2 linked regions of the Rattus norvegicus genome follow. The protein of the gene in region 2 purifies or fractionates together with the protein of the main gene of each other region. This does not show direct contact. Links are inferred from orthologs where the notes say so. Each region holds a gene or a part of one and is shown on either strand. Other genes may lie near its edges.

Evidence for each region. Proteins that work in one complex are often made in the same cells at the same time.
Region 1: the proteins of Usp18 (region 2) and Stat2 purify together in Homo sapiens (affinity purification with western blotting; 6 studies listed by BioGRID and IntAct, with this or other methods). This does not show direct contact. The link is inferred for Rattus norvegicus from reciprocal best matches to the Homo sapiens genes USP18 and STAT2.

The regions. Positions count from the first base shown.
Region 1 is NC_086025.1:1,290,089-1,293,653, forward strand, and holds part of Stat2 (signal transducer and activator of transcription 2), read left to right. Parts: intron 1-50; 5' UTR 51-57; coding exon 58-188; intron 189-306; coding exon 307-457; intron 458-684; coding exon 685-780; intron 781-1,301; coding exon of another isoform or gene 1,302-1,316; coding exon 1,317-1,409; intron 1,410-1,501; coding exon 1,502-1,577; intron 1,578-1,967; coding exon 1,968-2,053; intron 2,054-2,278; coding exon 2,279-2,430; intron 2,431-3,565. UniProt on the Homo sapiens protein: Signal transducer and activator of transcription that mediates signaling by type I interferons (IFN-alpha and IFN-beta).
Region 2 is NC_086022.1:156,153,817-156,157,381, forward strand, and holds part of Usp18 (ubl carboxyl-terminal hydrolase 18), read left to right. Parts: intron 1-1,969; coding exon 1,970-2,049; intron 2,050-2,288; coding exon 2,289-2,435; intron 2,436-2,927; coding exon 2,928-3,023; intron 3,024-3,482; coding exon 3,483-3,565. UniProt on the Homo sapiens protein: Interferon-induced ISG15-specific protease that plays a crucial role for maintaining a proper balance of ISG15-conjugated proteins in cells. Regulates protein ISGylation by efficiently cleaving ISG15 conjugates linked via isopeptide bonds.

The sequences.
Region 1 (3,565 bases), on a different chromosome or scaffold from region 2:
ATTTGGTCCAATAGAATATCCAGCAGAGAACGGATGTCTTTCCCATTCAGAGTCCAAATGGCGCAGTGGGAGATGTTGCAGAACCTTGACAGTCCATTTCTGGACCAGTTGCATGAGCTCTACTCACAAAGCCTCCTGCCAATGGACGTCCGACAGCACTTGGCTGCCTGGATTGAAGACCAGAACTGGTGAGGACTTGGGGGTTCAGGTGGCTCCTTCTGAGCACACAGGGTCCATCCTCGAGATGTCCTGGGCGATCGCAGAGCAGCAGGTTGTTTATGGAGCCCTTGTTGTGTCGGTCCCCAGGAGGGAAGCTGTACTAGGCAGTGATCATTCCAAGGCCAACATGCTATACTTCAACATCCTGGACCAGCTGAACCAGTGGGACCACTACAGCTTGGACTCCGACTACCTTTTATTACAGCATAACTTGCGAAAATTCAATCGGGACATTCAGGTACTTGGAAGAGCTGGGAATAAGAGTGTGGGACTAGCCTTTGAGTCTAGAGTAAGAGCTGGGAGACAGAGTCTGGACATGGGGTGTCACTGGCAGAGTAATGGACTGAATCTAGATTCAGGGTCTATGAAGGAGAAAAATACTGGAGACACTGAAGGCAGGGTCTGGACTGGGCGGTCATTAAGGTAGTTAAATGGGACCGTGCTTCTGTTTTTTTTTCTACTTAGATGTTTCCCAATGGCCCTACCCAGTTGGCTGAGATGATCTTCAATCTTCTCCTGGAAGAGAAAAGGATTCTGAATCAGGCCCAAAGAGCTCAAGAGGTAAGAACAGTGTGGTACTGAGAGATGGCTTAGTGGTTAAGAGTGCTGACTGCTCTTCCTGAGTTCAACCACAGTGGGATCTGATGCCCTCTTCTGGTGTGTCTGAAGACAGCTACAGTGTAGTCAAATGAAAAAACAAAACAACAACAACAAAAAAACAAATAAATAAAATCTTAAAAAAAGAAAGCAAGCAAGAAAGCCCCTGGGACAGCAAGGCACCTGGCAGAGACTCAGGGAACTCCTCTCAGACCAGGCTCTCCCCCACACTCTGCAGTAAAATTTCAGGTCCTGATATTAGGGATGAAAACTCAAGAGTTCAGGTGGGAGTGGGGTGTGTGACCCATACCATTAATCCCAGCATTTGGGTCCCACAGCTTTAATTTGAGTCACAGAGGCAGGTGGATCTCTGTGAGTTTGAACCCAGCTTGTTATATGTCATGAGTTCCAGAACAGCCATGGCTACACAGAGAAAGAAACTCTGTCTTAAACAAACAAACCAGTCAGAGTTCAAACATGTTCAGAACCTCTTACTTCAGATGCAGCCCAGGCCAGCCCCTGAAGCGGCAGGGGAGAGCCAGCAGCAGCTTGAGATTGAAACAAGAATCCTGGATTTACAGACTGCTGTGGAGGTTGGTGGCTGTGGCAAGTGTTGGGTGTGGAGTGGAGATCGAAGCTTTTCTGCCCTCAGAAAAGCCTCACTGGGGTCCCATCTCCTCCACAGGCGCTGGTGAGATCCATCAGGCAGCTGAAGGATGTGCAGGATGTCTTCAGCTTCAGATACACAGTTCTCAATCACAGTAGGTCCACTCAAGGGGCCGTCTTAGGGGCCAGTGGGAAGGACAGCAGAGGCTGGGTGCTCCATTGAGCAGTGGTCACCTAGGGCCCCTTATGTCAGCGTCAGTAGTCCCATCGATATGTAAGGCAGAGGTGTGGGGTGTGTTGTGGAGGGCAGACTAGAGATGTGATTGAGGAATAGTTCGCAAATGGTAGAGGGATTGTGTAGTAAACTGCCTTAGCAGGTTGAATGGGCTTCTGGTCCATCCAGAATTTGCCTGTGGGACTCCAGGTGTCTGTACTTTCTCTGGTACTCCCTTCCTCCCCATCCAGCATTTTCAGTTTTTGACTGAGACCCTGGACAGAAAAGAGCAGAAGGAACATGTGGTCTGAGTTTTGGTCTTGCCTTTCAGAGAAGACATCGTCTTTGGACCCCCATCAGAGCCAACAGCGGCAGCTTGTGCAGACAACAGCCAATGAACTGGACAGAATGAGAAAGGTGGGGGCTGGGCACAGAAGGGGCAGCAGAGGGGGTTGAGGGGGCAGCAGAGGGGGTTCAGGGGGTATCAGGGAACTGGGGGGCAGCAGAGCGGGTTTGGGGGCAGCAGAGAACTGGGGGAGGGGATCAGGGGGCTATGGCCTCACCATCTTAGTTTCCTGTTCTCTTCATCGGCTGGATGGGGGTGGTGAGAGGTACTTAGCACTCATGAGTTCTCCTTCCTAGGAGGTGCTGGACATCTCCAAAGCCCTGGTTGGACGATTAACCACCCTGGTCGACCTGTTGCTGCCAAAGCTGGATGAGTGGAAGGCTCAGCAGCAGAAGTCCTGCATTGGAGCCCCAGCACCCGAGCTGCAGCTGGATCAGCTGGAACAGTGGTAAGAACCTCGGGGGCTGGTGCAGTGAATGGAGGACAGTGGAGCTCAGTGGGAGAGTGCTCCTCTGCACTCCCAAGTCCTGGGTCTGATGTCAGCACAGAAGGAGAACAGAGAGGCAGGAAGGGACAGGGAAACAACAGCCAATGATGCCTCCGTGTCTTCTGCCGCTTCTCTGGTTTGACTGTGACTATATACTCTGCTGTACGCTGTCCTCGCCACTCAGAGAGTCCTGGTCCAGTCTTTGCTTTGGTAAAGAAGCAAAGGAAAGTACTGGGTTAATCCGGTCTACCCTGTTTTGTTTGCTTTTGAGACGATGTCTCACTATGTGGCTTTGGATACCCTGGAACTCACTGTGTTGACCAGGCTGGCTTTGAACTGACCATTTCTCCAGCCTCTGTCTTCCCAGTGTTGGGATTAAAGGCATGGGCTACCACACCCACTTAATAAAATAAATCCTTAAGAGAATAAGTGGAATATTATAAAATGTGCATTAAAATGCTCCTTAATGATTTATTTTTATTTGCAGGTGAGGTTTTGCCTGCATGTGTGTGTGTCTGTGTGATGGTATTAGAGACCATTGTGAGCCACCATGTGGGTGCTGGGATTTGAACCCAGATCCTCTTGCAGAGCAGTCAGCGCTGAGCCATCTCTCCAGACACCATTTCTTTTTTTTTTTGGTTCTTTTTTTCGGAGCTGGGGACCGAACCCAGGGCCTTGCGCTTCCTAGGTAAGCGCTCTACCACTGAGCTAAATCCCCAGCCCCAGACACCATTTCTTTAAATTGTCTACTGTCTACTACTGTGTGTCTGTATGATGGGGAGAGCGCGCGTGCGCGCGTGTGTGTGTGCGCGTGTGCGTGTGTGTGTGTGTGTGTGTGTGTGTGTGTGTCTGTGTGTGTCTGTGTGTGTGTGTGTGTGTGTGTGGTGTGTATAGAGCTCAGAGGAGAACTTTGTGGGGTTCTCTACTGACATCTTTATATGGGTTCCAGGGACACAACCCAAGTAGCCGGGCCTTCTTTTTTTTTTTTTTTTTTTTTTTTGGTTCTTTTTTTCGGAGCTGGGGACCAAACCCAGGGCCTTGCGCTTCCTAGGTAAGTGCTCTACCACTGAGCTAAATCCCCAGCCCCGTAGCCAGG
Region 2 (3,565 bases):
TGCTAGAAAGTTATTGTGCTCCTTTGGAGACACTAGAGAACAGAGTTTTTCATGATTCTTAAAAAGATTCCAACTTTGCACTTTGTAGATGACTGGGGACTCTTGGCTCTGGGAGCCCCGGTGAGGTTAAAAATAACCACTGCAGATGGTGGCCGTCCAACTTCCATTTCTGTCACCGCGATAAAATACCCTGAAGAAAAGCAACTTGGGGAAGAAAGGGTTTGTCTTAGCTCACAAATCTAGGGTACAGTCTGTCATAGCAGGGACGTTGGAATGGCCGGCAGGAACTTGAAACAGCTGGGCCAATCACACCCACAGCCAAGCTCAGAGAAAATGAATGCAGACAGGCTTCTCATGCTTGGCTTATTCTCTTTGTTTATATGGTCCAGGACCAAGCCCAAGAACAGTGCAGCACAGGTCGAGCTGGGTCTTCCCATAGCAATTAAAACAGTCAGAGCAACCCCTGCAGATATGTTCACAGACCAACGCATTCGAGACAGTCCTTGACTGAGGCCCTCTTTCCAGGTGTTTTTTGATTGTGTCAAGTTGACAATTAAAACTGATGTCCCGGGGTTGGGGATTTAGCTCAGTGGTAGAGTGCTTGCCTAGCAAGCGCAAGGCCCTGGGTTCGGTCCCCAGCTCCGAAAAAAAGAAAAAAGAAAAAAACAACAACAACAAAAAAAAACCAAAAAAAAACCCCCAAAAAAACTGATGTCCCAGAAACTTCAGAGTTGTTGAGAGCACCTGTTGCTCTTGCAGAGGACCGAGGTGTGGACCCCTCACCCCCATGGTGGCTCACAACCATTTGTGACTCCGGTTTCAGGGGATCAGATGCCCTCTTATGACCTCCAAGGGCACTAGTCATGCACACGGTACACATACATACATACATATGGGCGGAACATCTATACACATAAAATCAATAAATAAATCTAACAAAACAAGACAAAACTGGCCATCTCAGCACCCATATCTAATTTTCTTTACATCAGTGTTAGCTCTGTGTCAGGAAGCCTTCTGCGCATAATTCCCTGGCTAAATCAGTTTAAACCATCTGATAGACTTTTTCTGAGTTGTCTGATAGACTGTTTTTGAGTTGGGATTCATTATATCGATGAAATAATGTATTCGATTCAATTAATATATTCACATCAATCATTGTAGATTTGATGTGCGTAAGGCAACAGGAATCAGAGAGACATTGCCTCCAGGGAACTAACATTTTAGAAGCAGGACAGGTCAAAAATCAAAGGAGAACAAAGAGCATCAAGTCTGTGCTGTGATGTGTATCATGAAGGGAAGTCATTAGTGCCTTTGTGGAAGATTCGGCATGATCTGAGAAACTGCCTTGGCTTGAAATGTCTATGCATTCTGGCAGGGATGTGATTTTCTTACTTCCCACTTCTTTGGACCAACACCATTAAAGTCAGTTGTGTCCATTCCCGATTTCAGGCCTCCTTATATAGGATAACAGATAGTTACCCTGCAAAGTTCCTGCTGGTCTTGGCTAGGATCATCCAACATGGGTATTACCCTTTTCTCTTTGCTCTGTTTACTCAGTCACCTTTGGGGAAACCTGGTCAGATTAGCAAGAGGCCCTGCTTTTAGTGACGTAAACAAAAATTGCCACCAGGGGGCAGAAGAGTTCAGACGTAGTCTCTGCTCAGGAAACAAACAAACAAACAAACAAACACAAACAAACAAACAAACAAACCAACCAGAGAGAAAATAGTTGGGATCTGCGGGTTCGCTGACAGAGGATGGTGAGAGGAAGTGGTGGCACTGTGACCTTAGCTCTAAGAGAAACTCTTAAAAAAAGAATCGAAAGCTTAGTTTTCATTTGGTCTTTTTGAAAATGAGGGAAAGCTAGGTGAGGACAAAGTGCTGAGCGATCACGAGGCTGGTATCCTGGTGGCTCGGCAAGGGCACGGACATGTCTCCTTACTAATTGCGCTTCCCCCCCGACCAGTGTTTGTCCAGCACGATGCTGCTCATCTCTTCCTTACAATCTGGAACCTGACTAAGGACCAGATCACGGACATAGACTTGGTAAGGGCTGGGATCCGGAGAAGTCAGAGATGTTCCTGGTGGAACCTGCTCCACTACTGTGTGCGCTATTAGCGAGGAATGCGCCACTGCTTGGCATAGCTCCCTGGCGTGCACCTTTATGGGCCCGGAAGCAAAATTTTGTATCGGCTGTTTCTAGAACTTCTGTCTGAAAAAAACCACGTTCCCTGAGCTAAAGTGACTTCTAGGTCATCTTACCTATCCCGGCTCTCTACTTGCAGGCAGAGCGGCTGCAGGATCTGTTCACAATCTGGACCGAGGAGTCCCTGATGTGCGTGGGCTGTGGAGCAGAGAGCAGCAGGAGGGGCAAGTTGCTCACTCTCTCTCTTCCTCTTTTTGATATGGATTCAAAGCCCCTAAAAACACTGGTGAGAGACTCATTGTTGGTGACTCATTGTTGTGTATCCTGAGTTGACCCTTGCCTCTATGACTTGCCCTTGGATTTTTAAAGAAGTAACTCCTGGGCCAGCAAGATGGTGCAGCGTGTAAAGGTGCTTGGTGCTAAGAGTTACGGCCCGAGTTCGATCCCTGGGTCCCACAGGGTGGAAGATGGGAACTAGAGAACCAGTTCCTGTTCTCTACTTGTAGACCCTGGGCCAATCTCTCCCTTGACTTGGGCGAGGGTACTTTTTTCTGTCCCCTTCTGCTTTCCTCATGCTCTTCCTCTGGCAAGTCCCCTCCAGTTTTGTTCCTCCCTCCAGTGGGCACTTTCTGAAATTCTGCCCAGTGTAACACATGTGCCCACTTGGGGGGAGTGGGGATTAAAGGGTAGCCTGGGCTTCCACTAGCAGTGGGGGAGGGCTGTCTTTGAGATGGGAAACAATGATGCTACCTTTTGCTTGTTCTCTTGGTTGGGGCAGGAGGATGCCTTGAGATGTTTCTTCCAGCCCAAAGAGTTAGCAAGCTCAGACAAGTGCTTCTGTGAGACCTGCGGGAAGAAGACGCCTTGCAAACAGGTACTCCTTAAACCCAGACTCTTCCCTGGTCTGGATTGACCCATGGTTTCCTGACAAGTCTTTGCAGACCAGTCAAGGGCATTTCATAATGGCTGACCTAGGGAATCTGGGTACCTGGAGTCCTGGGGCTTCTTATTTGTATAACTTCAGACTTGGCATCTCAGACCATATCATTGAGAGGGACAGGAAGAACTTTGTAGAAACAAGAAGAGAAGGTTTGAGGACAGTAGGTAGAGTTTTTCCTCCTGGGTGAGTTGCCTAGAATACATCCCACGGTTCCTGAACCTGAGCAGAGGCCTTCTGGAGACGTGTGGTGAGTGACACTCAGTCACATGACTCTTGAAGGCGCTCTGCACTTCCCTTATGGGAAAGAGCACATCGCCACCCTTGACCCTGCTCTGAACCTGCCCGTCTCAGGTGCCCATAGACTTCATCTTCATTCTGACTTTGCCTCTTCAGGCTCAGAAGCTGACTGGTTTCCCTCAGACCCTGACCATCCACCTCATGAGATTCTCTGTCAGGAACTCACAGACAGTAAAGAT